Rattus norvegicus: one gene and its partners. The protein of the gene in region 4 purifies or fractionates together with the protein of the main gene of each other region. This does not show direct contact. Links are inferred from orthologs where the notes say so. Each region holds a gene or a part of one and is shown on either strand. Other genes may lie near its edges. The genes, in order: Ap1b1, Ap1m1, Ap2b1, Ap1s2 and Ap1g2.

Region 1 (5,145 bases), on a different chromosome or scaffold from region 4:
GAAATTTTATGGCTAAGGCACAGATAATACCCAAGAAGGTGACAGAAAACCCTACAACAACCTGTGTGTACAAATGTAAAAACAGTTAAGGAGTTTAAATGATGAGAGTGCTGTGTGGCGGGAAAAGGCACATTCAGAATGTTTTTGGATGAAAATCCCAGTGGCTAGGGATGTCGCCTTTCCACAGGTTGATGGCCAGGGAGGCCCCTGAAGTCTTACAAACCCAAAGGCAATTCTTATTGTTACTGGTTGCACATTGGAACTGGATGGTAAGTCCTTATGGGTTATAAACTACACTGTAGGGCATGGAGACATCTGGCAAGGGCTGGGAGGGTCCTCCGGCTTCCTTGACACCAGGAGCTGTGCAGGCTTCTGACAAATGGCCTCTCAGTGTTGCTTCTCAACCACGTACACAGGCAGCATGCTAACACCGGCCTGCTAGGCACAATGTGCTGAGTGGTACAACTGCCCTGAGCGCAACCAACTGCCTTCTACTTGGACTGAAGGTCTGCTCCACAGCGGGAACCCTCATTTATCGACACATAAACTGTGACTGGCGAAGTCCTAGGCTAATGGGCATGTTAGTTCTGTGAGATTTCTGTTCCGTGGGCCTTGGATAGGGATGCTTCCTTAGGCAGTGGGCAGTGCATACTGCAGAGATTCATTGGCCAAAGTACTGAGAAGAGGCTATTGCCATAGCCCACTAGCACAACGCCCCCCCCCCCCCCCCCCCGCCAAGGAGCTGAAGAAGGGGTAGGATACTATGGGACTCTGCTCAGACGTGCTATGACTGGTCATACTGTCCTGAACCCAGAGGTGCCATGATTACTTGCACAAGACCATCACAAAGCCAAGTCCACCAACGTCTCATGGAAGCAGGCGTCGAGAGACCCTTCCCTGCCCGAGGGTAGTTAAGAGGCTAACAGTGGGGGCAAGGGATTTAGCTCAGTGGTAGAGCGCTTACCTAGGAAGCGCAAGGCCCTGGGTTCAGTCCCCAGCTCCGGAAAAAAAAAAAAAAAAAGAGGCTAACAGTGCTGAGGTGGCACTTTTCTTGGGTAGTACGACGTCCTGTGAGTTGTTCATGTTCCTTGGACAAATTGTTTCTTTAGCCTCTTGTGAGTCCTCTTTCTGGGTATCTCTCCATAAAACTCTCCTCAGATAACTGTCCCCAGGAAAACACATGCAACACTGCCCAGCCCTCTCCTGTCCACCCAACCCAGTCATTCCTGTCGCTCTAAGGTGGCCTGAAAGAGGAAACTCGAATGCAACAATCCCTTCCCTGGATCAAAGGGGACACAGCATCAGCTGGGAGGACTTGACACCAAGGGCAGGAAGGTGACAGGGACTCCAGCAGGCCACAGTAGGCAGAATGAAGGGAGGGGACCACAGTCAGGTATATGGCCTCAGAGCCGGACTCCCGCACAGAGGAGCCTTATGACCTGACACACCGGCCAGGAACACACTTAACATCATCATTTTTTATTTGCTTTCTCTTTTGAAAATAAGGGTAAATATACAATATATATTTTCATTTATATGCATTAGATATAATCACTGCAGGGTCAGATACTATCCCCGGCTATCAGAGCAGTTTCTTAGGCTGGCCTTTTTTTGTAGAGGGGAAGAAATGCGCATGATTGCCAAAAGCAGAATCTCTTTATTATCAAACAGTAGCGACAGATCAACCTGTCACTGTCACACACAGACTGGGGAGCCAGGGCAGCCAGTGGGTGCAGGAGCTCACACTAGAAGCGGTCCCACTGCCCCTTGCCCCACCTTTCACCCCACTTCTGGTCTGAGAGCCCTGGACTCACAGAGAGGACACCGAGGAATGTTTGGTAGGCAGTGACCATCCTCCAGGGCCTAAGGGAACAGAATCCTAGATGGGCTCTGGGCCATGCAGGTGGTCACAGAGCACCAACTGGTGTTATATGGGGCAGACAGTGCCAGCCCAGGTTGCTCCCCTGGGCTCATGTCTGTCCATCACCACCTCCAGCTCTCAGAGTCCCAAACAGTAATATTGGCACCCAGAGGACTCTACCCAGACAGGCTCACTGAGGAGACAGGGCAGGGATTATGGGCTGGGACCCCAGGAGGGTTCCATGTTCACGCCCAGGAGAGCAGAAGGAAGAGCACCCTGTGGCCCCCGTCCAGCTTCTGATGCTGTGCTGGATCCACTTCCTTTGATCCCACATCAACAGCAATAGAAAAAAGCAGCCACTGGAGATGCACGGAGATTTCACTCTAGGAGACGTGGCCCTGCTCCAGGCCCTCAGTTAGGATCAGGGGAGCCTCCTGGGTGGGTCAGGAGCCCACCTGGCTTCTCCCCAAAGAAAGGAGGAGGTGCTGCCACCACAGGGTTCCATGGCTGGGCTGGCAGAAGGCTGGGGTGGATGCGAGAGGGACTTCAGTTCTTGAGGATGGTCTCGTAGGCCTGGTATACATGCTGGGACACCTCTGGCGCTCGACACTTCAGGGACAGCTGCAAGAGAAGAGGAGGCAGGGAAAGAACTTATCCCCGAGGCTCTTCAGTAAAGGGATGGGGAGAGCGGGCACCAGATGGGAGAGCGAGCAGGAGCGTGTCGCATGCACACACAGCAGGCTGGAAGCTAAGAGTGGGGCAGATGTGAAGTAAAGCAGAGGGGGTGGCCATCACAGCCGGGAACCAAATATACTTGCAGCCCCCATGCCTGCTGTTCAGCTCTGCCACCGGAGCCACTGGCAGGCGGCATGATTCACCAGCCGTCAGGAGTACCCAGCCACCCCCTTTCTGAGTTGTCTGTCCCTCTACAACCTCTGGAGGTCTAGGTCAGGAGCAATTCTGACATACAGTCCTGGTGGGCAAAGGGTTAAGGGGGAGCAGATCTCTCCTGGGGACAGCAAGGACAGTGGGGATCGCTCTGGTTCCTGCACAGGAAGCAAGAGTGTGTGAAATTGCCCCAGTGCTGCACCCAGGTCTAAGCCTTGAGATTCCAGGCAGGAGGGACGGAAACCAACTGGCCCTTCCACTTGAGAACATCAGGTCTGCAACTATGAAGGAGTGGCGAGCAGAATTCTGGGTTCAGCAGCAGTGGCCCCCATGGGCCTCCCTTTAAGGGCTCTGCACACCATGCATGTGCAAGTGGCTGGAAAGCCCTGGTGTTGGCAACCCCCATGCACATCTGCTGGGAGCATGAGGCTGAAGCAAGGCCAAGAGACAGGGAAAAGCAGAATGCACTGGGGCCAGACCAGGAGCCGAGGCATGCGTAGTTCTGCTTGGAAGCATGGAGGTGGGCACAGAAGAGAGAAGCAACCCGCTAACCTCCAAGTCCTGTACCATGGCACCAGCAGGGAAGGTGGGCATGCAGCAATCAGACAGGAAGACGGAAATTACCACCTCAGCTACCCCACAGCCCCACCCACCAGTGCCAGGGTCACCAGCATCAGAAGGGCCACACCTACCAGGCAGGGGTGTGGGGGAAGCAAAGCCTCGACTCTAGGCCTGGGAACAGCAGAGAGTTTACAAATACCCAGCCCACCCGAGAAGTCATCCTCTGATGGCTCTGACTCACGGTCTAGAATCATGGCCCGCCGACATCAGTGCCCCTGGCCAGGCACTCAGGCACCTGTATGGCAGTGGGGCCAACTCCTATAGCCAGAGAGACTATTTCCCTGTCTGGGGATATGTGTTTATGTTCCTTGGTGTCTTATTTGGGTACCCTGATGGGGTTGAGTGGAAGTTTAAGAACCGATCGTCACACTGGGCTCAAAGAGACCTTGGCACAGTGACACCCATCCCAGTCTCCTAGCAGCGCAGAGGGTGGCTGATTTGGGAAGCCCTGCCAGGGCAGGGAGGTGGACCTGGCAGTGGGTACAGGGGTTCTTACCGTGAAACTGGGGTTGCCTGGCTGGATCCGCAGCTCTGCCAGCACCCAGATGCCATTGGTCAACTTCAGAGATTGGTAGAGCATGTCCTGGCCCTCCACAGTCCTCTTGGCGACAGTGAAAATGTTACTGCTTTGCAGCTTGCTGCTTGCAGCCTCTGCAGGATCAGACATGGAAGGAAGGCCCACATCAGTGGGGACAGGGGACACAGTGGGTGGAATACGGGCGGGGAGGGACTCACCTGTGTTCAGCGGGCAGTCTCTGATCTGGAACTGGGCTTCATTCTCGTTGGGAATGTCCTTCCATGTGGCCAGGAACATCTGCCGGTCTACAGGGTCAACAGGGCAGGATAAGAGATAGAAGCCTAATAAAGTCTGGCCCTCAGCACCACATGGCAGTGAAGGAAGGCAGGCACCTGCTCCTCCAGTTCCCTCCAATGCCCTCTGCTTCCTGCCCCTCCTTTGCCTGACGAGCATCTGACCTCACTGTCTTCTCCTCTGCAGTTTGTTACACACGGCTCTGGGGCCAGTGGCAAAGGTGAGTGCCCGCCACACAGCTTCCAGGCATGGTGACTGACTTGGTTCTTTGCAGCCCATGGACGAGCATAAGGGTGAGCAGCAGCGCTCACAAGTAAGGTGGCACAGGCCACCTGCAAGCCAGGTAGGAGCAGCTGAAGACCCCCTCATAAGGCAAAGCTGTCCTTCTGGCCCTTATGTCAGGGCACTCGTCCCCCAGGCTCCCTAGCTGAGTCCTACTACACGAATCCCCATGGCCTCAAACTCACCCATCTTCCCGTCCTCCACGAAGAGGACATGCAGTGGGTACAAAGTGCTGAAGTAGAAGACGTCAATGTTGTTCTTCACAGCCACCTAGGCATGGGGGTCTCCAGTCAGTCCCCGGGCTTGACACCCTGACTCTTGGGCTTATCCCACCTCCTAGGGCCCAAGCAGGGTGTCCAGAGCGGGTTTCTCACAGGACCTCCCTTGTGGCCATGCCCTTTGTCCCCTAGCCCAGGTTCCAGCTGTAGCCGAGGGCACCATTCTCTCAGGCTTCCTGCTTCCTGGCTGAGGTGGGTAGAAATGGGGTGTCTGGCCCTGTGGGGACACACCTGAAGATTGTTCAGAGGCTCCATCTTCATGACTGAGCCCACCGTGTTAAGAGGCAGGGAGATCTCCACCGTCTGGTTGGGGCTCAGTGGGGCGTGCACTTGGAGTGGCGCAGCGGGGGCCAAGCCAAAGCTGAAAAGAGAAGCCCGACAGGAGCTTAGAGGGTGTGCAGGGT
Region 2 (5,915 bases), on a different chromosome or scaffold from region 4:
ACACCTTTCCCTCTCCCCGACCCCTCTCTCTTTGTGCTGCCACCTCAGATGATCTAGCTAGCCAGCAGGCTCCTGGGATCACGGGCTGCCATACCCTCCTGGTATTATGTGGGTCCTAGGAATCTGTACTCAGTTCTTCACACTTATATAGCAAACTGTTTCCCTGCTAAAAATACTTTGTCAAGCATGGTATGACACCTCTAATCCTAGCACTTGGAAGCAGAGGTAAGGAAGTTTACATAGTAAGTTTCAGACTGAACACAGTGAGACCCTGTCTTTTTAAAAAATCCTAGGTTTGCTGGGAATGACAGTGCAGGCCTTTAATCGCAGCACCCAGGAGGCAGAGGCTGGTGGATCCCTGAGTTTGAGGCCAGCCTGGTCTACAGATCAAGTTCCAGGACAGCCAGGGCTACACAGAGAAACCTGTCTCAAAAAACAAACAGGAGGTGGAGAGATGGCTTAGCAATGAAGAACACTGGCTGCTCTTGCAGAATCCCCAGAATCACATAGAAGTGCACGCCTATCCACGACTCCAGTTCCAGGGCTTCTGACACCCTCACACATGCAGTCAAATACTAACAACCATAAAATAAAAATTATGTGTGTGTATGTGCATACACACACACACACACACACACACATATATGCATACATATACAGATACACACTATGTATGTATATAAAACCAAATAAGCAAATAAATAAATCCCAGGAGTTGGGAAATGGCTCGTTACTTAAGTGCACTGCTATTCTTTTTTTTCCAGAGCTGGGGACCGAACCCAGGGCCTTGGCTTGCTAGGCAAATGCTCTACCACTGAGCTAAATCCCCAACCCCATGCACTGCTATTCTTTCAGAGGACCCAGGTTCAGTTCCCAGCTTCCACATTGGGTAGCTCACAAGTGCTCGTAACTCTAGCTGTAGGGGATCTGATGTTTACTTCTGGCCTCCAGGGACGCCTGCACACGTTCGCACATACCCGTATCCCTCTCGCCTCCCCACACACTTAGTAAAAAAAAAAAAAAAAAAACAAAAAAAAAACACAAAACCATTCGTGGTCAGCTGAGGGCAGATAAGAATGTGAACGCAGGACATGGGACTCTGAGCTGCAGGACATGAGGACGCCCAGGTAGGCTCTACCCTCAGAGTCACTGTGCATAGTGAAAGGAACCAAACAGGAATTGCTCCTTGGAATTACCCTGAGGAAATGGCTGCAGGAAGGGGCCATGAGGAAGCTGTGGGTGAGGGTTGAGGAGGTCCTGGTTACTTGGTGACAGTGCCTGTCTTGTCACGCTGCCTGCTGTCAGCATGGCTGGTTGGCCATGTGGCAGTGCTGCAGTTCTCCTGAGCTGCCACGCTAGACTGGCACCACCTGCTGCTGCATTTGCTCCTCAGAAAGCACGGTCTCTGCTGCTTCTAGCTGGGAGAGTGCAGTGAGGACGCTTCCTTCTGAGTTCTTTTTGGGCCTTGTGCAGACACAGCACACAAGGGGTAAGCTTTTGGGTCTGATGCTCCTTACCTCAGCTGAGGGACTCCCACTTGCCCACTTTTATTCCTCTTGCTACCTCTTATATGGTTGGCTGGTTAGTTTTACAGACTACAGTGCCCAGAGAGGTGGAGCTGCCTGCCTGAGGTAACACAGCACAGAGATCAGGGCTAGGATCTCCAAGACATCCTTACTCCCACTTACTGTGTGTTTGCCTGTGCTCACCAAGAACTGCTGTACTGGAAGGGAAGTCTACAGCCTCCCTGAGAAGCTTTCCAGAGGCAGGTCTGATCAAACCCCATCCTGGGGACTCCTCCCTGGAACTTCGGTGGCCGTGGAGCCTCCTCCCATTGGGCCCCCAAGGTCCCAGAACAGTCTATGGGCAACCTTTACACCCTACATGCCAACTGGGACATCTGTCACCTTCTCAGAACCACATCAGGTGTCTGCTCTGCCTGGAAGTCTTTTGTAACCTTCTCTGAATGCCAAACAGAAGGCCAACAACTGTTTGGCTGCTGGTTCAAGTGTTTCCTGCTAGGCCAAGAGGCCTGTGGAGCCCAAGTACCACGTTCTGTGGGCCTTTCCAGGGCAAGGCTTGTCCCACATCTACACTCAGTAACTCAGGAGACTCCAGATCCATTAGGAAGGCAAAGCTAAGACAGGCCAAGGTGCTTGTCTATGATCACACAGCTCAGCTGCAGAGATCCACATGTAAATCTAGCCCTCCAGCTTCAGCCCAGGATGGGTACTTGCTAGTTCCAATGAGATGTTTTCTAAAGGAATAAGCAAGCCATGGCAGGCAGCCCATTGCACCTCTAGGCCAGGGTGGACGGTAGAGCATGTGCCATGAGACCTAGGGAACGCTGCCCTGCCCAGTTTCCCAATAGGCTGTGGAGGACGCCCAGGTCTGGGACTCACCACTTGTTGACCTTGGGTGACCTACAAGGCAGGTATATACTCAAGGGACTAAGGAAAAAAACGGGGTGGGGGTTGGGAGGTTCTTCTAAACAGTCTCCATGTAGACTGGACATCAGTGTTCTTTCACTGATGAATGTTGGACTTGTTTACTGTGGCTGAACCTGTTCTGGTAGGTTCCAAACATAAGAGGTAGGCCACTTGCCTTCCACTCTGATGGCCTAAGGTAGGGCGGCAGCCCATTTCTTAAGGCTGAATGTGCCTTCCTGGAAGAGGCATTTGCACAGAATACACCGTGGCTGCCTGACAGAGGGCTTGTTGTTCTAGACTCTATCATCAGCACCACGAAACCATCCATTAGCCTAAGGAGACAGCTCAGTCTGTAAAGTGTTTTCCAAGTTTTTGACCTGAGCTCCATACCAAATCCCAGGCAACAGCCAGAATCTGGCCCGGTGGTGGTGATCTCTAAATTCAAGGCCAGCATGGTTTACAGAGTGAGTTCCAGGACAGCCAGGGCTACACAGAGAAACCCTGTCTCATAAAACCAAGAGGAGGAAAAAGTCAGATTCTTCTGGGAAGTACAGACAGGCAGATCCATGTGTTTTAAAGGTCAGGCAGCTTAGCTCAATCAATCTAGTGGCCTGGGTTTGATAACAAGAGCCCATGTAAAGGTAGCAGAGGGTCTCCTTCCTTCACACACATGTGCACACCCGCAAAAACAAACAAATGAAGTTTTCTTTCTCAGATAACCCTGGGAAAGCTGCCAGGGTCCTGTTTCTGTCCAGGGCCTTCATGTCTCAGCAATCTTGGTTATTCCCAGTCAGGAAAGCTCTCCCTGATCCTTTAGCTGGGACTGCTAGTCCATTATGAAGACATAGCCCCAACAGGTATCTATTTGTGCTTTTCTAAGTGACTAAGTTTAGCTGACAGATTCTGCCAACCCATGATGGCCCAGGGCTTAGCACCTGTCTGGTGAGGAAGCTTCCAGATAGCTACTTCTCAGTAATCTGTGTGACTCTGGGCAGTGTGTTTCCCCCTCTAAAACCACACTCTTATCATCCGCTTCTCTTAATGTCACAGGAAGCTCAGCTGCTCTAGGGAGCGCTGAAGCCTTTATGTACACTGTGGAGAGAGGGTCTGACCTATTGCCATACTCCCCGCCACGCCTCTAGCCAAGGGTCGAACGGTCCCCGTGGCGCAGGGTCCTGATGCAGGAGGCAGCTTCCAGTCCACAGGTGAGGCTAGAGTCCTGCACCCAGGCGTACAAGGGAAAGGAGCAAAGTGGACAGCAACCTCAGCCCACCAAGTTGGCTAGCAATCGAGTGGGACTCGCAAAAAGACCACCGCCCGTTTCTTAGCAACAGGGCGGGGCTGACAAGTGAGGCTGCCCCGCCTGCCAGACGTCCCAGCAGAGCTGGTCGGCCAGTTGCTTAGCAACTGGGTGGGTCCCGACAGGCCGCTTGCTTGACGCCCTAGCCCGGCTGGTCGGCTAGTTGCCTAGCAACAGGGTGGGTCCCGACAGGGCGAGGGCCCGTTGGTTGCCTGGCAACGCGGAGGGTGGAGAGCCCTTCAGTACCTTGCCCTTCAGGTCCAGTACGTAGACGGCGCTGGCGGACATGGCGGCTTTGGAAGGCCTCGGCAGTAGCCGAGGGCGGCGGCAACGGCAGGAACTGCCGGCGTTCAGCAAGGCCCGGCGCGCCCCACGACACTTCCCCTCCACTTCCGGTCCATGAAGCAGCGCGTGGACCGTTATGTCCGGTCTGAAGGAAGCCGTAAGTGCGCAAGCGCACAACGGAATAGGTGCAGGCGCAGTACGAACCTTTTGGCAGTATTTTTCACCCACAGCCCAATCGGGCCGGAAGTACGTCCCAGGGGGCGGGGCCTTCCAGATGAGCTGGGGACTGGAGGACCTGGGAAAGGCAGCTTTGTCAGTAGTCCTAGTAGCTTAAGGACTAGCTGTGGAATGAAGGCGGACGCTTCCAAGCCGGTTGCTATGAGGAGACAATCCATCACCTGTTAGTGTCAACCTGTCAATAACTGAATGGGCTCCACCCATTCACCCCAGTGAACCCAGGGTAGCACGCGTGTGACTTAGCCTGTGCTTAGTACAAAGCGCAGCGGAATACTTTTTAATTCTGTCATTCCTAACCGCCTTTACCCATTGAGAGATCAAACCAACCCATCGACACCGGCCCCGACACCATGGGCTTGGTTTTAACTTTGTGTGTTACTGTACACACATAGGTCAGAGAACGAGTGGGGTCAGCTCTCTCTCCATCTCGTGGATCCCAGAGGTCAAACCCAGCTCTTCATTTTGTGTAGGAAGAGCTACCTGTATGTCCTTCTCACCCTTTCAGTTTTTTTTAAGACTGCAGCAGTAGTCATCTCTTTTTATAAAATATTTTATTTATATCAGTACTCTACCGGCAATGTGCACCTGCATGCCAGAAGAGGACATCAGATCCCATTATAAATGGTTGTGACCCACCAACCCCACTCCAAATCAAACAAAAAAACCTCAAAAAGTAAATTTGATATCTGTTTCATGCACAAAATTCTTCAAAAGATTGTATACTTTGTATTCTATGTTCAAAGACAGAAAAAATTAATATAAAATTACTTTAGGCTTTGTGCACTGGGGCAAATCAAACAGAAATCAAATGTATGCAAATTTGTGACAGTCACTGCAACATCTCATTACATATTACAAAAACCATTGTGTTCCCCATTCCCCAAATCTGGAAAAATCCCCAAATCCAAAATGGTTGTAAACACTTGAGACAAGGTATGCACACACCATCTCCCTCAGAGAGGTGTGAACACAGTGGAATAAATGTGTCCTCTAGACTGTGACACAGCTGAGTGCGTAAAGTCACTTGCAGCCAAGTCTTACAACCTGAGGTGGATCAAACCCCAGGATCCACATGGTGGAAGGAGTCAATTCTTCAAGTTTCCCTCTACACATGTGTACTCATACAATACATATTATACAATACCCACATATTTATATATACACATATACACCTTTAAAATACAACAGCATCGGGATTGGGGATTTAGCTCAGTGGTAGAGCGCTTGCCTAGGAAGCGCAAGGCCCTGGGTTCGGTCCCCAGCTGGGGGGGGGGGACGCGGGGGGGGGGGGCGCGGGGAACAACAACAACAACCCAACAGCATCTGATTTCTCCCACACGGAACTGGTTTTTGCACTGCATTCTTCATTCTTCAGGGACACGGGCAGAATGGAAAGGTGTCCCTGTAATGGACAGCCGGTACAGACAACATTCACACTCCATGACTGGTATTCACTTTATTCCATACATGTCAGCTCCACCCATTTGTCATTCATTCAGTATCCATGGCAACAGAAGCTGCGTCTCTCAACAGTGTGCAGAAACTCTTCAAGTGGTCTACCTAGACCCTCAGATGCACAGCGCTGCAGCATCTGCACCACTACACCACGTCTGTTGGCACTGGGCCCTGGTCACACCTGGCATTTGGTGTCCTTAGACCAGGAG
Region 3 (6,008 bases), on a different chromosome or scaffold from region 4:
ACTTGAGTTCAGTTTCCAGAGCACACATTCAGAGGCTCACAACTAACTGTAGGTCCAGTTCCAGAGATACAGTGCTCTCTGGTCTCCATAGGTACCTGCACAGACTTGTACAGATACAACATTTAAATAAATCTTTAAAAAATAGCTATGGAGTAGCTGGCAAAATAAGATAGCTCAAAAGGAGCAGGACTATATAACTTAGAGTTCTCTAGCAGGAATTAGCAACATTTCATCCAACTAACCTTGTTACAATGAATGAACGTCAGGTTGTCATTGTGTCCATCAGATTCTTCTGACAGAAGGTGCTGGCATACATATGTAATCCCAATGCCTGAGACATTGGGCTATCTGGCAGTGAGGCCCTGTTTCAGAAAGGAGGAAAGAGAAGAGAAAGGAGGAGAAAAGAGGGGGAAAAATCCATTTGAGCAATCTTGGTTCAAAGTCTAGTTTCATGCTTAGCCAGAGGGTCAAGATTTCCTGATTAATGGACCCACAAGACTACTCTATAAAAAGGAAACTAATTATTACATGAGAAGAGGGAAAGAATTAAAAATAGTATGTCCTGGTTGGTTATATAACTCAGTGTTAGAGTATTTGCCCAAGGTGTGTGAAGCCCTAGGATCTTTCCTTGGTTCTGAATAGAAAAATAGTGTTAGTTTTTATTTTATTTTGGTAACGTGCCAGTTTTTAGTCACCAAATAATACACTAAAAACCCCAATTTCAAATGGGCAGTCTAATAGAGGCACATGATTGACCTTTCTATTAGAAGGCATTAAAGGTTAAGCCTGGCCATCAGGTTTGGAGATCTTAAATATATACTAAACATAAGTTACATAGGAAATTACATGATACATGCTCAGTAAATAACTAACTTGATTGTAACTGGGTTAAGTCATCTGTTTTGTTTTTTCTTTTAAGACTTATTTATTATGTATACAGCATTCTACCTGCATGTATGCCTGCAGGCCAGAAGAGGGCACCAGATCTCATTACAGATGGTTGTAAGCTACCAAGTGGTTGCTGGGATTTGAACTCAGGACCTCTGGAAGAAGAGACAGTGCTTTTGACCTCTGAGCCATCTCTCCAGCCCGTTTTGTTTTTCTTTTCTTTTCTTCTTTTTTTTTTCCCCCGGAGCTGAGGACCTAACCCTTGTGTTTGCTAGGCAAGTGCTCTACCACTGAGCTAAATCCCCAACCCTTTGTTTTGTTTTTCAAAGACAGGGTTTCTTTGTGTAGCCCTGACTCTCCAATTCATATTGTAGACCAGGCTATCCTTGAACTCACAAAGATTCACCTACCTCTGCCTCCTGAGTGCTGAGGTTAAAGGCTTATGCCACCACACCTGGTTACCTTGTTTTTTTTTTTTTGTTTTTGTTTTTTTTTAATATATAACAATTTATTTATTTTATGTATAGAAGTACACTGTAGCTGTCTTCAGACACCAGAAGAGGGCATCAGATCTCATTACAGATGGTTGTGAGCCACCATGTGGTTGCTGGGAATTGAACTGAAGACCTCTGCAAGAGCAACCAGTGCTTTTAACCACTGAGCCATTCTCTCCAGCCCTGCCGTGAGTTTTAAGTTTCAAATCTGGGGGCTGGAGAGATGGTTCAGTGGTTAAGATCACTGGCTGCTCTTTCAAAGGACCTGGGTTTAGTTATCAGCTCCCACATGGCAGCTCACAGCTGTCTGAGATTCCAGTTCCAGGGGACCGAACACTCTCACATACATACACGCAGGCAAAACACCAATGCACATTAAAGATGTTCAATAGTAGAGTGAGGGAAGCCTGGGTAGGAGAACCACTAAGCCTTACTGTCAAGGTATATATATAGATAGAGAAGTTCAAAGTGCTCTAGAGGCAGAAGCAAGAGGGGCTTAGTTTCAGGCTTGCTTGAGATACACAGCCCAATGCTGGTTTTTCTTTTTAAACACCAGTAGTACCAGTTTAGTTTCCTAAAGAAACCTGTATCCACTAAGTGTTTTGGGTACCTTATACCACGCAAGCCTACGGGCGAGGCAGGAAGGGGGCGCTAATAAGTTTCTCCAGTCTTGTACAACGTAGGGATTCAAACTCAGATCTGAATACTTCTTAGCATCTTTGAGTCGCTAACTCCTAGTTCAGCTGCCCACCTGTACTTCTGGTTTCTATCACCTCTATGGGCTTCTGAACCTTACATGCAAATTAGCCGAGGTTTGTGTTTAAGCATATAGGATATCTCACACAGGTTTAACAAAATTCTTGTTCATGGAAATAAATCAAGAAAATATCTACGTATTGAAGATATCCTTTGGAAAAGCCACTGCGGGTTTCCTTAGTCTGCCCTAACCCTGAGAAAGGTAAACCTTTCCGTTGCTGAGGCGACAGACACAACTTGGCTGTTTGGTTCTCCCGCGCACCCGGATGACGTCAGGCGGCGAGATTCTCTTACGCCAAAACTTCCGGCCCACCATCTTTGTCCCTGGCAAATTGGGTTTTGCGCAGTGTCTTAGATCTAGAGAGAATCGTGACGGGCAGGAAACCATTACACCACCTTCCCGGCTGTGCTCTCTGACTGCCGCCGCCACCCCGCCCTTGCCTCCGGTGAGTTCAAGGCGGCTGGCTTTGGGGTGTGTCCCTGACTGGGGGTAGTTGTGAAGGAAGGGAACCCCAAGCCGGGTCGTAGGCGCAGGAGGAAAGGAGAAACGGGGAGCGTGACGGTTGAGGATGGAGGGAGTCCTCGGGTGTGACCGTTGTGAGGGAAAAGCTTGGAGAAAGTACCTCTTTCGTAGTGACCGTGGTGGGTTGGGGCTGAGCTCCGGTGTAGCAGCGATAGTTGGGGGCTTCAAAACGAAGCAAGGTTCGGAAGACCGGCTTGGGTAGGGCTCAGGCCAGGGGTGTGGCCGCTGGAGGCCCAGGGAGAACCACCTAGATTTCCCGTTTGGCATCTGTTCATTGAGAAAGAAGCTTGGACGTGTCCGTCCAGCACGCCTAGGGAGAAAGGATTCCCGCGACCGTTTGGTCACTGAAACCTCCGTTGTCACCCGTATTCGGAGGCATCTCTCCTTATCCTGGACAGTTTTCTTGACCGGGTCTTGACCTGCGGAGGGAAGTGGGTAAAGAGAATAGGGGACTAAATAATGTTCTTCGAGAAAGGAAGGAGAAACTTGCGTAATTGACCTCCTGTGTGAGAGGGGGAAGCCAGTGAAAGTAAATCTTAGCCTGGAATTGTTTTTCTTTTTTTAGCTCCCTTTATTCCCCGGGGTTATTAGGAGCAGTCTAGTTTGGGCAAGGCTGTAAAAGTCTACTAGAAGTGAAAAAACTGGAATTTCCTGCCATTTCTTTATTCTTTGAATTCTCAGGATGTATTAGTATTTTGAGCAGCCCTGTTTAGAGGAAGGCTCTTATTAAACTCAAGCAGTTTAGGTATGAAGCAGTATGAATCTGTCATGGATGCTTCGCTGAATTTTTTTTTTTTTTTATCATTTAGAAGGGAGATTATTTTTTTAAAATGGCCAAACTCTTTTGTGACCTTTGTGGTTTAAAAGACAAAGGACACACTATAAGCACAGCAAGGCAAGTTAACTGAAAAGAAGGTGGTCTCAGAGAGGAACAATCTAAATTATCACCTGCTTTCCTTGTGTAGTTCTACTGCTCAGCCTCAGGGTGCACTTACAAGGTATTAATAGAAAGCGGCAGGTGAAGTAGGTGCAGCCACCAGTAACACATTCCCGGGATGACTAAGTGAGGCGGGCGGACATGTAAAATGAGAGCAGAGTAGGTGTCTTGCAGGGGAGACTCCCTGAGAAATAAAGGGGAGTGTGCTCTGCAAAAAAGCTCCCTAAAGTTGAGTGGTAAATTAATACAAAGTAAACATTCTGAGAAAATAAGACTCAGAGAAGTCCCTCACATCCCCTTCCCCTGTAAAAGGTCATTGCTTTCCTCTTAAGGCACACATTTGAACCAAGTCAGACAGGGAGCATTCAGAGGACATCATCCCCATTTTTCTTCTTTCCTCCTAGGCTTAGGTTTCCCCAAATGTCTTGGAATTTCATAACAGTTGGGTGTAAAACTGTTGGGCTTCTTTCTTTACGCATAATACTATATTAATGAATTAACTTGTAGTTGTTTAAATAGAAGCCAGAGGTGGATTTAGCTTTTAAATGTTTTATTTCTGATAAGCTAATTAATCTGAAGCTGCTATTGTCCTGGTGTTATGAACATTTTAGCCAGAAATGGTCTTCATACCACTCATCCTTATAAGCAGAGGTTCCTGGAATGTCACTAATGCTTTGCAGTTTACTGAACTCTGGCTAGTTATTGACTTCATGTGCAAAGAAGGGCATAGTGGCCTTGCCAGTGCTAACGTTGGCTGCCATTTCCCAGACAACTACTTGAAATTAAGACCTTACTAATTTGTTTCTGACTGTATTCTACCCAGCCTGTTAATCTTGGTTTGCTGTTGAGTTGCTCTTTGGGGAAATTGGAGGAGGGGAAGGCTGGGAGGAGAGAAAGGACGTTGACAACCTATATTTGGCAGAAACTAGGTTATGTTAATCTAGATCTATACCCTTGTACTGTGAAAGGCAGTGAAGCAATACTGTGGGCTAGGACAAGTTCAAGGATTACTGCTTTGCCTGGTGGCTGCTCTGTCCTTTAACAATGTCCCTAGGCCACACCTTAAGTCAGTCAGTGACCTTTCAGGTTTCATGTTGTATAAGGTGGTGTAAGTTCAAATTCCATTGTGGCTTGCTTATTTCTAGGGATTTCCTGAAAAATTTTGCCCCAGTAGGATTTTGAATTTTGAAGCACTAGGCAAGTTGAAGTTGTATTTTTCCAGTTCTATTGTGGCTTTGTGTGTGTGTGTGGTTTCTACTGTGGGCACCAGTTTTACACCCTATACTGGAGAATTTGACTGAATATTTGGCAAGTGTTTGGGAGGGTCTTTATTAAAAAATAGTTATATGAATTGTGAGTTGAGAGTCACAGGGACATTAAGGTTCTGTCACTACCACTCTTTCTCATTTTAATTAAATACTTAAAATTCATACAAATATATAATGTGTTTAAGTCTAGGCTGCTCCCCCAGCCCCCCCAACCCTTTCTTTCTACAGTGCTTTTGTTTAGACTGTTTTCATTCTCCCTTATCCCCCACACCTCTGCCCCCGCCTTAAGGATAGACTGGATGCCTTGTTTTTCTGCCTGTATGATGGCAATTATTTCATCACAATTATTGACTATGGTGTCAGTTAAATGAGTGATATATTTACCTGCTTTTTTTTTTTCCTTTTTTTTTTTTCCTCCTCCCTTTTGATGATGGAGAGGCCTTATACCTGCTAGGTAAGCACTCTACCATTGAGCTATATCCCTAATCCAAAATGCCACTGAAGATTGAGCACAGGATTTTCTGTATATTAAGCAAGCCCTCTACTACTGAGCCCTTTATTTATTTATTTTAGTTCATATATGGGTATTTTTGACTGCACATAGGTTTGTTCACCACTTCTGACCTCAGAGGCCAGAAGAGCGCATCTGATCCCCTGGAACTGGAGTTATAGATGGTTATGAGTTGCCAAGTACGTGCCAGGAACGGAATATGGGTCCTCTAGAAGAACAGCAGTCAGTGCTCTTACCTGTTGAGCCATCTCCAGCCTTATTTTATTTTTAAGACAGACTTTAATTAAAATTCCCAGACCTACCTCAGGTTCCCAAGTAGTTGGTTCTCTTTATCTCTGTTTTGTTAGAGAACAGAGATTTTTGATTTAGGATATATGTTGCAGGCTTCTTTTTATTATTATTTTATTTTATGTGTATGGGTGTTATTCCTGTGTGTATATGTCAGTGTATCATGTGTGTATGCCCAAGGAGACCAGAAGAAGGTGTCGGATTCCCTGGTACTGAAGTTATAGACCGTGATGAGTCTCCGGGTTGGGTGCTAGGAATCGAATCATACTAATCATGAAATGTGTAGGCTGCTAATAAACACATGCCTTAAGGTGGGTGAACAGAGTATGTTGAGAATTCCTGT
Region 4 (5,936 bases):
GAATTTCCTAGCTTACCTTACTTCCCATAAGCCAAACTCTAAAAATGAAGGTGATTCCACTCCCTCTTTCCTACGTAACAGGTCTCCTTTCTGGCTCTCAGCTCAGGAACCAATTCGGATGCAGTCCCCTACTGATCCTGCAGGGGCCAGTCTCAGCCCACTCCTCAGCCACTTTTACCTCAGTCTTTGCAGAAAGTGCAAACCTGATCTCTATCTTTCCATATCTACAAGCCCATCACTAGTATATGACCTTGGGCCAACTCACCACTCACAAATTCTCATCTTTTATAAATTGAAATTTGAACAATAAACTGTTTTTCAAATCCAGGACCTGTCTTTTGTGCAGAGAGCAGAGACCAACTGATCCAGGGTGCAGGATTCTTATTTCTGATTCTAGAAAAGCAATTCTTTTCTACGTGTTTTATTCACGATTCTATCCTTGGGCAAAAAGGTTGTGTGTGTGTGTGTGTGTGTGTGTGTGTGTGTGTGTGTGTGTGTTCTTAAGGCATCTTCCAGTTTGCAAATGCTATTATCTTTCTCAACAAACACTAAGCCAAACGTTGGATACAAAATCACCCAAACCGATATGAATTTATCTATGAAAGGAAGAGAAATCTAATGTACTTAAGAGTGTCTCTATGTCCTATTAATCTCCATGACTTCCCCTGCCACCTCCTCCACAAAACCCATCCATATTTGAAATGTAGTGATAGAAAACTAGACTTCTCTTTACCTTCATTGAATTCCATACTGTTAGTTCTCTGAGCACTCCCCATACAAGAGAATGTTTTATATGAAGAAATGCTTTTATCTTAAATTCAGTAAATTATTCAAAGGGGATCAGAAATAAGGGAAGAAATAAGGAAATGTTCCTTCAAAAACATTATATAAAAGAAATTATATTTCTTTTAAACTGCTTAGAAAATGTTTGTTTACCAACAAAATAAAGATGTGTAGCATTAAAGAAAAGAACTGTGCAAAAAGCTATTTTTTAATAAGTTATTTTGCAACATCATTTAAAAATATCCATCCGTGGTAAAATTATCATATCTAAGCATAACTCCTTCACAGCAACAAGTCTATTTCAAATTAATAAATGCTATTAGGAAAGAGATACTGTATATATACAAAGTATTTAAATATCTGTATAATGAGATAGTCTATGTGTCCAGGGTATTTATGAATAAGATTGATTCTAAATATCAGAAAAGAAATACCAAATATCGGTTATTATTTTATAAATTTGTTGTAAGAAAGAGTTATTACACTGTTATCTATGCATATCTGAATTTATTAAAGTACTTAAAAATTTAAAATACTGACCCTATTTACTCCTATAATAAATCTATTAAATTATTCTAAAATGGTGATTAAGCATGAATAATTGTCTCTCTTGTTTATATAATTAGTTAAAAAATGATTCCCCTAAGGCAAGCAATCAAAATAGCAGTTACTTATTTTTAAATGGAAAGTTTTCCTTCAAATTTATTTCATTTAAATATTAATCTTTGTTTATTGACCTAAAAGTCTGCAATTTCCTCATTAGAAATAACCCTAATGCTTGACAGTACTTCACCTTTCTGATAAATAAAAAAAGGATTACCTTTTATAAACAATCTTCAGATCTCTCCACTCAAGGAAGCTGCACATCTTGGGTTTCCGTGCTAAAACGGTTTGCACAAGTTCTCTGGTGATTTTCTTCTTCTCTTTGTCTGACAGTGGGACATACCATTTCTGCAGTCGAAGCTTTCCCTGACGACTAAAAAGCAACATAAACTGCATCTGTTAAAATAAATAAAATCAAGATTACATACAATTACCTCGGAGCAACAGTTAAGAGCACATGATTTTCAGAGCCGCTTTGGGGGGCACAGTAAACGCCCTGACAAATGATCAATAAGCCATCAACATTTCTATGGAGGTTATAATAGCATGGAATTCTTTTGGAAAGATCTTCTTACTATATGTATGTAGGTAAGTGTAGAAGAGAGTGTGTAAAAAGCAGAACAGGTGGTAAGCTGGAGTGAATTTTTTGAAGAACAAAAACTCTGATAATTTCAGGAAACAATTTTCTACCTGTTCCACACTCCACCACTCTACATGCATCAAAGGAAAATGCAGACATCAGGTAGCTGATTTAGGTACATTTCTAGGAAAGAGGAGACCTACTATTTTCACCCTGAGGCTATTCTAGTTCCAGGCGGAATTTCAAGCACTCCCTTCAATTTATGCTAGCATATTTTAAACAAAACAGAATATTAGTCAAATATTTCACAGTACATTTTAAAGACAAAAGTCTGATTTTTTATGTTTTCATTTCTCTTTTATAAAATACAACATAAATAAGCACTCAAAAACTGAGTTAATGTCTGTAAAAGAGAATAGAAGTTTAAAAAGCTTTACCCAAAAGTTACCCATATTGAAACACAGGATATTTAATTTAAAACAACATTTTGAGACATCACACAGTATACATCTTTTAAAACAAACAAACAAACAGAAACCACATTCGAATGTATGCTGGATTCAAGTATATTTTATATTGAAGCTAATTTGTATGGATTTACTTAGCATTTGCATGTCTGTTGGTCAGTCTGTTTTCTAAGGCATGTATTTTATAATTCAACTGGTAAAAATGGGCTGTATTGTAAAGCTAATTTGAAGGTAAAATTCGGATAAGTGTTCTGTTTTAACCTTTTTAAGTTCCTTTAACAGTGACAGTGCAAGTAAGATCCTCTCAAGGACAATTCTTAATATTCACCACACTACCTTAAACATGAACACACGGAGGAGGAATTTACGTAACTAATATAAAATCAAATTGGCTCTAAATTTCGACAGGAAAACCACCTCACAATATAACAAAAAGGCACCAAGAAAACATCCGGATATTTATGGCGTAGCCATTTAACTTTAATAAAGTTAAAATTGGCTATTACTCCACACAACACTCTATATAATTCATTGAGAGCAAAGTGCTACCCGTGTAAGTCCTTAAGACAGCGGCATCGAAGAGAACGGCAAGTAAAGCATCAACTGGACATTGAACGCCGACCGTTAACAGAACTTGGGAAAGGAACCGATCGGTTTTCTTAAATCTCGACCAGGAGAGACGGTTTGCTAATGACAGGGGTGTGCTCTAGGCTATCTGTAACGGGGTCTAGTATCCGCCCTAACACTTTGTAGAACGAAGAAACCAAGCATTTTCCTCAAAACAAATGATGTGCTAACATGGGACGAAACCCGTGGCACAAGTATTCCTTTTCCCTCGCTTTGATTTTGCCTCAAATCCTGGGACAACAATTTCTCCAGATTGGTATTAAAACAAAAACAAAACAAAAAACAACAATGAGCTCAGCCTTGGAGTGGGCTCTGGTCCAGCATCCCTGGGGTCCCGCAGTCTTGGACGCCTCCCCTCCTCCCGGGACCACACTCCATCAGTGCCCAAAGCTGGGCGATGTGACCGGCAAGGAGTGGAGAGAGACAATGGCATCCGCTGGCCCGCCAGGGGCGCCAAGTCCTCGGTCGCCACCACCCCGGCCCCTCCCCAAAACACCCCGTCAAACTTGAGGCGATCAGCGAACCACAGGTGCCGCGGGGTCCCCGTGGAACCCAGGACCGTCCCCCGTATCACCGGCGCGCCGCAGAGTGGAGAGCGGGGCGCTACCGCCGCCAGAAGTGAGTTTTGGGGCGCGGCGCCCCAAGAGGACTCGGGGTGGGGTCGTCGGGGCGCTCACGGGGCAACGGGGGGCGCGCCCCGGCCATCTCTCCCTCTTTCCATCCCTGCCACCTCAGCGGACTTCTTCAACACTTACGGCGGCTGCGGGCCGCGGACGCGGCGGAGCTTGGCTGGCTGCGGAGACTGAGGCGCCGGCAGCTGCTGAGGGGAAGCCCCCGTCGCCAGGCTGTTGAAGGGAAGCCGTGGTGCCGCGGGGAGGGGACCCGTCTGGTGGAGGGCAGGCTTAGGCGGCGAGGGTAGGGCGAGCCAACAGATCCCGCCCTGGAGGCTGGACGAAGGAGGAGCCCAGGCTGCGGTGAGCTGAGAGGCGGACCAGAGGACGCGCGCCAAGCTGCCGAGGGGGCGCCAACCGCCTCTAGAGTCAGCACAGTTGCCGGCAAGAACGAGAAGCCGATTGGTCAAATGGCCACAGGGAAGGCGTGGCGAGGGCCGGAAGTCTGGCCACGTGACCCGGAAGCGGCTTTGGCTGTGGCCGGCACGCCTGCGTACTTATGGCCGTGCCGCGGGGACGCAGCGCACCCGGCTGTCCTGGCTTCCTCAGTGGCAGGGTGATGGGGTTCCGCGGCGCCCTTAGCTGACCCCGTGGTGCAGGCTAAGGATGGTCCGCACTACAAAGAGCTGACTTCGAGCTCCGATGACTCTCTGGGTCCCCAGAGGGTTGGACGGGGAGATGTGACAGTGGGTGATGATGGTGGGAGCAAGGACAGGAGTGCTGCAACTCTGGGGAAAATAAGTCAGCGCTTTCGTGGTGCTCGCGCCCGCGTTTGCAAGGAGGCCCCTCCTCTCCAACGCAGTGCTACAGCCCTAGCTAACCTAGACACTTCTGGCCCCAAGCTTTGCAAGAGCCTTTCTGCAGGGCTTGCTTCGCCCAGCAGTGCGGCGGACTGGATGAGTTGTGGTCCGCTCTCTGCTGCAAAAATCCAGACAGCGCTTAGTCCTCCAGATCCCGCTTCCTTCTCACGGTCTCGCCCCCACCTTCCCCAACCCGGGTTCCAGTTTAGCTTTGCTGACGACTCGCTCTGCTTGCCATGCCCTTCCTCTAATGTCACATCTATGAAGCCTCACTCTAAAGCCCTGGAACAACGAATTCCTCTTTTACCCACATGCTTCTGTTTAGTGCACCTTGGATTTTATTCGTTTAACAATCTAGCTCCCTGCCTGGTTTTAACACCACTGATAAATGTGAGTTGCCTAATAAAATTATAAAATAATGATAGATTTATTAAAAGCTGAAATGTTGACTTAGTTCTGGGCATATGATGGATTTCTATGTTTTATTTGAATGCTGGAATGGATGGATCATCTAGTTCAACTTATCATTTATAGATAAGGGGAGTGGAGATCCACGGGATTAGGTGACCTTGCTTGGGCAGCGATGGATTTCCCATGTCAAATGCTACTCATTACTACAGTCACCTCCGTCCCTACAAAAAAAAAAAAAAAAAAAAAAAGCCAGAACTGAGTATTTGTTGGGTATGCCTTTCTTTGCAGAGATTGCTAAACAGGAATTGTAAATTAACCAATGTAAGGGAAAAGATGCTACATTTTTAGCGAAGTTGTGTTTATTCAATTTAAAGAAACCCCTTATTAGAGATCAATGTTGATTTTTATGTCTTACAGTACCAATGTAATAGGATCATATATGATAGGAATTTGAGGTCATTTTGTAAATGCTTTTGTTTAGCAAAAATAAAACTAGAATATTTCCCCTTTTCCAGCAATACTATGCTGCTTGGAAAGTTTCATATTAGCACGTGTGAGTGAAATATACTAAAGTGAGCAACAAAAAGCAGAATTGGCTTTTGGTGGGTCTTTAGGCCCCCCCGGCCCAAATTTCTGTTTCCTGTTCAAACATGCCCCTGAAATGCTAATGTCCTTTCTCTTCCTTCATACAAGGAACCGATGTTTTTTAGCCAATTCACAGATAGCACTAATACTACATAATGAAAAACTGCCTTCTAATTCTAAACACTGCCTTTTCTTTTTGTGTGCAAAACACCTGTCTTCCAAGGTTCCTAAGTAGTCACCTCCCAAGTTTAAATTGATTGGATATGTTACTAACGTTGGTTAGTAGTAGCTCGGGAAATGATGGGAGACTTGCTAATTGGCAGTTTCATTCTGTGTTCCTAGCCAGAGAGAGAGGAGAGAGAGAGGAGAGAGGAGTGAGGAGAGAGAGAGAAGGAAGGGCTGGGGTAGA
Region 5 (5,786 bases), on a different chromosome or scaffold from region 4:
CCTGCAGCTCCTGCATCATAGCTCGCACATTGGAGCTATTCACCAGGGCCAGGCTCAGCTCCAGGGCCCGCCTGGCGAGAGAAAGGCATCCGTGCAGATGGCTGAGCTCACCCTGTTCTGGCTTCCCTATTCCCAGATGCTCTTGAGCTGGTTTGAGTTTCGGCCACTGGGTGCTGTGTCCTCTGCCCTGTCCCCTTCTCCCTTCTCCTTCTGCTTACCTGCTAAGGGAGGCGTCCTTTTCCTGTAGACACTCTACCACGGTGGACCGGTGACGTTGCACAGCACTGTGGTCAGACTGTACCAGCTGCAGCAACGATGTCAGAGCTACATACCTGGTCAGGGTAAGAGAGGCCACATCACATGGGCGTACCAGCCTTGATAACCCGTGTTGCCTCCAGGATACCTAAGGGTTAGGTGGATCCGAAGGGAGGAATGCAGAGGGCCAGGTGGATAGTGGTACAATCTAGCCCCATACTGGCTGTTACCTGATATTCTTGTCATTGTTGAGCAAGAAACGACCGAGAATGTTAACAGCTAGAACCTGTGGGAGGAAGAAGGTGGAGACAGTAAGGGAAGAAGCCACTTGTTCAGTGGGATCTCCTCCATGATGGGGGTTAGGGAAAAGCCAGGGACCAGGACTAGCTGAGTAGGTGGGGCCACAGCAGAAGAGCACATGACTGTGTAGTGGTACCCGGAGGCCAGCTGCAGAGTGGATGGCCATGATGGTCAGTACTGTCTCCAACAGGACTGCGTTGCCTGCATTTCGGCTGGTGTCTGTGTTGGTGGCTACCTGTGCAGATGGGGGAGAGGTGCATCTGTACAGGGTTCCAGTGAATGCATGGACTTCGTCGGTTGGGCGGGGACAGAAAGGCCTCTTCGTGGTGAATGGTCCTCTGGGGAGTATGCAGGCCTGATGGACCCTAAGAAACCACAAGGCCTAAGGCGTGCCTCCCACCTGGGCCAGCAAGTCGTTCATGGTCTCGCTGCTTTCTTCATGGTTCCGTCCGAGGATCCGAAGTAGGCGGAGTATCTGGACCTGAGATTGGATCAGAGTGGTTCACAGGGTAGGGTCGTGGGCCCGAGGCAAAAAGACCTAACAGTGTAGACAACAAATACTGCAAGGGGCCCAACTCTTTCTCACCTCTACAGCTCCCTTAGATGAGCTGGGAGGAGGTCAGAGTTACATAGAGTTGGGGGAGTTTAAAACCGAAGGGTTTTTTTCTCTCTCTCTGTAGCCCTGGCTGTCCTGGAACTCACTCTGTGAACCCGGCCCACTACACACTCATGGGCCTCATTTAATCCACCTGCCTCGGCCACCATACTGGGCTTTGGAATAGGCCTTTTAATGGTTACCAAACTGGACTTTCTGGTAGCCACCTTTCATTTCCCCAGTCTTAGGACAACTAGGGCAATCCTGAGTTCACTACCTTCTTATTCAAGACATGGACTGTGACCAAACGGGAAGTGACCACTGGCCAAGGTCTTCCTGAGAAGCCTTCTCTGTTCTGGGAATACGGCAAGTAAAGCTCAGCCTACCTGCAAGAAGGGGTCGCTGACTCCAGAGATACTGTGCTCTGTGGAGTATCCTGTCGTCACCAGAGTCCGGAGGATCTGTACCAGCTGGGGCACTACCTGGAAGACGGGCACATCCAGCCTTGTCTGAGTTCTGCCTGTCTGTCTCCTCTCAACCATCAGTCCCAGTTGAGCACCCACCATCCACCTCTGCCTGCCCCACGGCCTGCCCCTTCACTAGCCCACCTTGCGAAAGTGTCTGAGGGCTGCAGGGTTTCTTTCACAGAGCTCCGTGATCAGCGTGATGGTGCCCAGCAGGGTGCCTGGGGTCAGGGCGGGGCAGTGAATGGTGGGCCAGGCCATGGGACAGTCTACTACGCGTGTGTTTGTGTGTGTGCACCGCCCTTATCCGATGAGCTGCTCTTCCTGATTTGCTTTTCACGTCATCTATTCATAGCCAGACCAGAAGTGGACAGTGGAGATCCCTGGACCCTTACCATGATGGCGCTCACGAAGCAGTTTGGTACAGGGTGGGAGGAAGATGTTGGAGAGCTCGGGGTCCTTCCGGATCATGTGCACTGCAGCCAAGATAGCCTGCAGAGGTCGAGGGCCTCAGAAAGGGCCACCACGTTAGAGGCCATGCCTCTTCCACGGCAGACTGAGAGCACGTTCTGGAGAGGCAAACGCCCACATCTCACCTTCTTACGCACATAGGGGCTGGGTTGCTGAAACAGCTTTTCCACCTCGGTGGCTAGGTCCCGGCACATCTCAGCAGAGCCCATGGTACTCAGAGTACACAGGGCCAGGCCTTGAACTGGCTGAATCCCTTGGCTCAGGTCACTGTAAGGTTGGAAGGATGGTCAGTCAAATCTGAGCAAACCAGTTCGTCGGCGCAGTACCGATAGCAGGCAGCCCCTCTGGGATTTTGCGGTTCCCACTCTCCCAGCGCCCTGATTTCAAGGGCCCCGGGACCCTCTCACTTCTTGATGCTGTTGGTAATGAGCAGATGGGCATCGTGTCTCTCATCCAATAGGAGCATGGCCCCAAGGTAGCCCACCCTCTTGTCTGTGAATCTGGGGGAGGCGATCAGTTTCAGGCACTCCATCTATAGGGAATGAGGCAGACCAGGAGGAGCAGGGTGAAACCACAGGCACTAACTTCCCCGCTACAACCTCCTTTAGGCCAGATTAACGTGAGGAATCATATTTCATCTCTCTGTAACCAGAGGCTTAAGTGTTGATCCAGATGACAGCAGGGTGGTTTCAGGGACCTGTGTAGGAGTAGAAGCTGGAAGAGGATGGGGAGGTGCTGAACGGGGCTGGCCAAGAAATCACTAGTAGGGTGATGGATAAAAGGCTCAGAAGCCAAAGGATTTAACTGGGCAGGGTGAGGCATGCCTGAAAACCCCCACACTGAAACGGAGGCAGGGTTTTCTCGAGTTCTAGGTCAATCGGGACTATACAGAACCTGTTTCGGAAACAAAAAATCTGGCGGAAAAAAAACACAGCGGGGGGTACAAATACAAAGGGGCGCAATGGCCATCTTCCTCAAAATTTGGGGCCATCCCAGGCCAGTACCTGTCCAAAGTGGGCGGGGTAGCCCAACATATGGACGTAGAGAAGTTTGGCTAGCTGGCGATGTCTCTGCAGGGGATCCCCATCGCGGAAGGAGGCCCGAATTTGGGCGCACTCCTTCTGGATCACCTCCCGTTCCTGGGCCTGCGTCTTGGCCCCACGAATCTCTTCGATTAGGTCCTGAAGTTTCAACGAAGGCACCATCCTGGGGACAGAGCCCGGGAGTTGGAAAGGCTTAATTTAACACGTTCTAGCCGGTTGGACAGAATTGCCCTGAGCCAAGATCTCTAAAGGATTGCGTTCCACCGCCGACCTAAAACCGTGTCCACTTTTACCTCCCACCTGGACCCGAGAGCCACTCTCCCGCCTCGCAAGGACATCCCCACTACGCATGCGTCCTTGCTCCACCCTGTGCCTGTTTCTACTGAGCCTGCGCTTCAGATCAGTCTATTTCTCACTCTCCTTCCCCGGCCAGATTCTCTTCTCCAGTTTTTCTCCTGGTTTTCTGCGCTATTGCCTTTGCGAGATTTCTCGCCCCCATTCCCACAGAAGGCTCCCCAGTCCCAAGCTCACCTGGCTCCGGTGTCAGCTTTGCTCTTCTACCCCCTACCCAGGACTTCCTGGTATGGGACAGAGCTGGGGTTGGTGCGCTGCTCGGGCCCTTCCCTCTTCCCCGCCTCTACCACGGGACCCGCCCCTCTAGGGCCTCCTTGCTGAGCCTACTTGAGATTTCTGACCTCTGGCCTCTTTGGTACTTTGATAAAGGAACCTAGAATTGTTACAGGACTATGGCTCCCCCAGGGGCCTCATTTTTCATCCGCCCCATCAGGTGACACTTGGGTCAGAAGCCATTGCACCCCAAAGGAGATGACAGTCCCCCCCTTTTTGGAACTTTTTTATTAATATACTTTTTTTTGTTAAATTTCTTTGTATTTTTTTTTTCCTGCAAGACTTGATGTTGTCGGCACTGTTGTATAACGTCAATCCCAAATTCCATGAAATAGAAATCAGAAGTAAAGATCGAGAAGGAAGGAAGGAAGGAAGGCGGGAGGAAGGCAGGCCAGGGAGTAAACAGAGGTTGACTAGAAAAATAAGAAGGTTGTGTGGTGGGCATTCCCAGGCAAGGCCGTTCCTTGAGGAGGGGATTGGCAGGCCGCTTGCCTCTGCCTCATGCAGGGAAGGAGAGTCCCCCGGGCTTCTACAGTTCCCTCTTGTAGAGCTTTCTGTCCCCAGAGGATAAGCTAGTGACGATGGATCAAGCGTATCTCAGACAGGCTCTTCACCCACCTCTCATCTGGGGATGACACCCACCTCTGCCCTGCCTGAAAGTGTGGGAGACAGCGAGCGAGTTCCTCAGATCCCCTTTATTTTCCCACCTCACAGGAGTCTATGTGAGGGCTTGGGAACTAGACTTGTGGCAGCATTTGCTGCCCTTCAGTCCTCGTCTTCCGTGTGCTCCCCACAACCGCCAGAGCTGGAGTGGGGTCCCTGCTTGCTGCAGTGCCTCTGACCCTGGGCAGAAATGTCTTCTTCAGGCCCCTTAGGAATTTAATCAAAGGCCACAAGTGAGTCCAGACCAACCAAATAAATTTTCAGGGGGCGGAGAAGGGTAGAGAGGTGAGTGGCAGAGTCTGAGAGGGGCGGGCTTGGTGTACCAGATGGTTTTCGTTGCTTTGCCCATTGCTCTTGGCTTGGCGTGCCATCCTTGGGGGTTGGGAGAGGGACTGGCTGAGGAGGACAGGAGAGGGAGCATGGGGAGCTTCCTGTTGTTCGCTCCCCTTTTCTCCCTCAGGGAAGGATTGAATTAGGCAAGAACTTAGGTAGGTTCTGGGAGGTAAGAGTGGAGGGTACTCTCCCTGAAGCTTTCCATGGGGGCCAGTGAGCCCCAAGTGGCTCAGCCAGTGCCTAGTCTGGCCACTCAGTCACTTCATAAGTGTTCTCTTTCTCCCTTCCACTCAGATTCCAGGAGATTCCTTAGGACACCAAACCCCTACCCTTGGTGAAGTTTTGATTCAAATAAAAGGTTGGGGAGGACATGGGGGGCAATGGTCTGACTTAGATTTGTGTATCTCAGAGGAGAGAGCAACTCTGAGAGAGAACAGCCCTTCATATGTAAACAATCTAGAGAAAGAGGGGTTGGGGTGGGAAAGAAAACCAGGAAGACCAGAGACAGGTCCAGAATAAATGAGACCATCTCAAAGAATAGAGGGAAGGAAGAAGCAAGAGACAAAAAGAAAGGGGCCTGGGAGAAAGGAAAGGGGAAAACACAGGTAGGTGGAGGAGGAGAGAAGAGAAGGCAGGTCAAAGGTCAGAGTGGGTGCAGAGGCAGGCAACCAAGCCGGAGGAAGCCAGGATGTTGCCTCAGGTGAGGAGCTGGGAGAACAGGAACGCCAGGCTGAGATCCAGCAAGGCCACAGCTCCTACCACCAGGGGGTTGGCAGCTCCCTAGAGAGACAGAGGGCGAAGTGAAGTCAGTCCGGGAAGGCAAGTGTAGGTCCCACCTCCCTGCCCTGGCTTTATTGGCAAAGCCGAAAGGTCCCAGACCCCCCCCCCCCCCACACACACACACAGGTAAGAGTAGAGGAGCTGATTTCAGACTGTGAAGAGCCTCGCTTCTCTGCAGAGCCCTGCCCTCACACTCTGAAGATAGAAGGCACTGCCTCCACCCACCACCACCACCACCGCTCTCCCCATCCCTCA

What was found.
Region 1: the proteins of Ap1s2 (region 4) and Ap1b1 purify together in Homo sapiens (affinity purification with mass spectrometry; 5 studies listed by BioGRID and IntAct, counting the BioPlex papers as one, with this or other methods). This does not show direct contact. The link is inferred for Rattus norvegicus from reciprocal best matches to the Homo sapiens genes AP1S2 and AP1B1.
Region 2: the proteins of Ap1s2 (region 4) and Ap1m1 fractionate together in Homo sapiens (co-fractionation; 6 studies listed by BioGRID and IntAct, counting the BioPlex papers as one, with this or other methods). This does not show direct contact. The link is inferred for Rattus norvegicus from reciprocal best matches to the Homo sapiens genes AP1S2 and AP1M1.
Region 3: the proteins of Ap1s2 (region 4) and Ap2b1 purify together in Homo sapiens (affinity purification with mass spectrometry; 3 studies listed by BioGRID and IntAct, counting the BioPlex papers as one, with this or other methods). This does not show direct contact. The link is inferred for Rattus norvegicus from reciprocal best matches to the Homo sapiens genes AP1S2 and AP2B1.
Region 5: the proteins of Ap1s2 (region 4) and Ap1g2 purify together in Homo sapiens (affinity purification with mass spectrometry; 3 studies listed by BioGRID and IntAct, counting the BioPlex papers as one, with this or other methods). This does not show direct contact. The link is inferred for Rattus norvegicus from reciprocal best matches to the Homo sapiens genes AP1S2 and AP1G2.

Annotation. Positions count from the first base shown.
Region 1 is NC_086032.1:84,141,154-84,146,298, reverse strand, and holds the end of Ap1b1 (AP-1 complex subunit beta-1), read right to left. Parts: intron 5,103-5,145; coding exon 4,973-5,102; intron 4,734-4,972; coding exon 4,649-4,733; intron 4,193-4,648; coding exon 4,106-4,192; intron 4,022-4,105; coding exon 3,867-4,021; intron 2,483-3,866; coding exon 2,408-2,482; 3' UTR 1,464-2,407; downstream 1-1,463. UniProt on the Homo sapiens protein: Subunit of clathrin-associated adaptor protein complex 1 that plays a role in protein sorting in the late-Golgi/trans-Golgi network (TGN) and/or endosomes.
Region 2 is NC_086034.1:17,632,293-17,638,207, forward strand, and holds the start of Ap1m1 (AP-1 complex subunit mu-1), read right to left. Parts: upstream 4,083-5,915; 5' UTR 4,018-4,082; coding exon 3,976-4,017; intron 1-3,975. UniProt on the Homo sapiens protein: Subunit of clathrin-associated adaptor protein complex 1 that plays a role in protein sorting in the trans-Golgi network (TGN) and endosomes.
Region 3 is NC_086028.1:68,598,256-68,604,263, forward strand, and holds the start of Ap2b1 (AP-2 complex subunit beta), read left to right. Parts: upstream 1-2,467; 5' UTR 2,468-2,584; intron 2,585-2,636; exon of another isoform or gene 2,637-2,780; intron 2,781-2,978; exon of another isoform or gene 2,979-3,092; intron 3,093-5,302; exon of another isoform or gene 5,303-5,320; intron 5,321-6,008. UniProt on the Homo sapiens protein: Component of the adaptor protein complex 2 (AP-2). Adaptor protein complexes function in protein transport via transport vesicles in different membrane traffic pathways.
Region 4 is NC_086039.1:34,226,748-34,232,683, forward strand, and holds the start of Ap1s2 (AP-1 complex subunit sigma-2), read right to left. Parts: upstream 3,938-5,936; 5' UTR 3,816-3,937; intron 1,783-3,815; coding exon 1,604-1,782; intron 1-1,603. UniProt on the Homo sapiens protein: Subunit of clathrin-associated adaptor protein complex 1 that plays a role in protein sorting in the late-Golgi/trans-Golgi network (TGN) and/or endosomes.
Region 5 is NC_086033.1:32,545,568-32,551,353, forward strand, and holds the start of Ap1g2 (adaptor related protein complex 1 subunit gamma 2), read right to left. Parts: upstream 3,714-5,786; 5' UTR 3,660-3,713; intron 3,292-3,659; 5' UTR 3,291-3,291; coding exon 3,090-3,290; intron 2,618-3,089; coding exon 2,493-2,617; intron 2,353-2,492; coding exon 2,211-2,352; intron 2,107-2,210; coding exon 2,010-2,106; intron 1,836-2,009; coding exon 1,759-1,835; intron 1,633-1,758; coding exon 1,537-1,632; intron 1,037-1,536; coding exon 956-1,036; intron 791-955; coding exon 692-790; intron 542-691; coding exon 486-541; intron 333-485; coding exon 219-332; intron 72-218; coding exon 1-71. Other genes in the region: Jph4 (junctophilin-4), read right to left, coding at 5,448-5,531.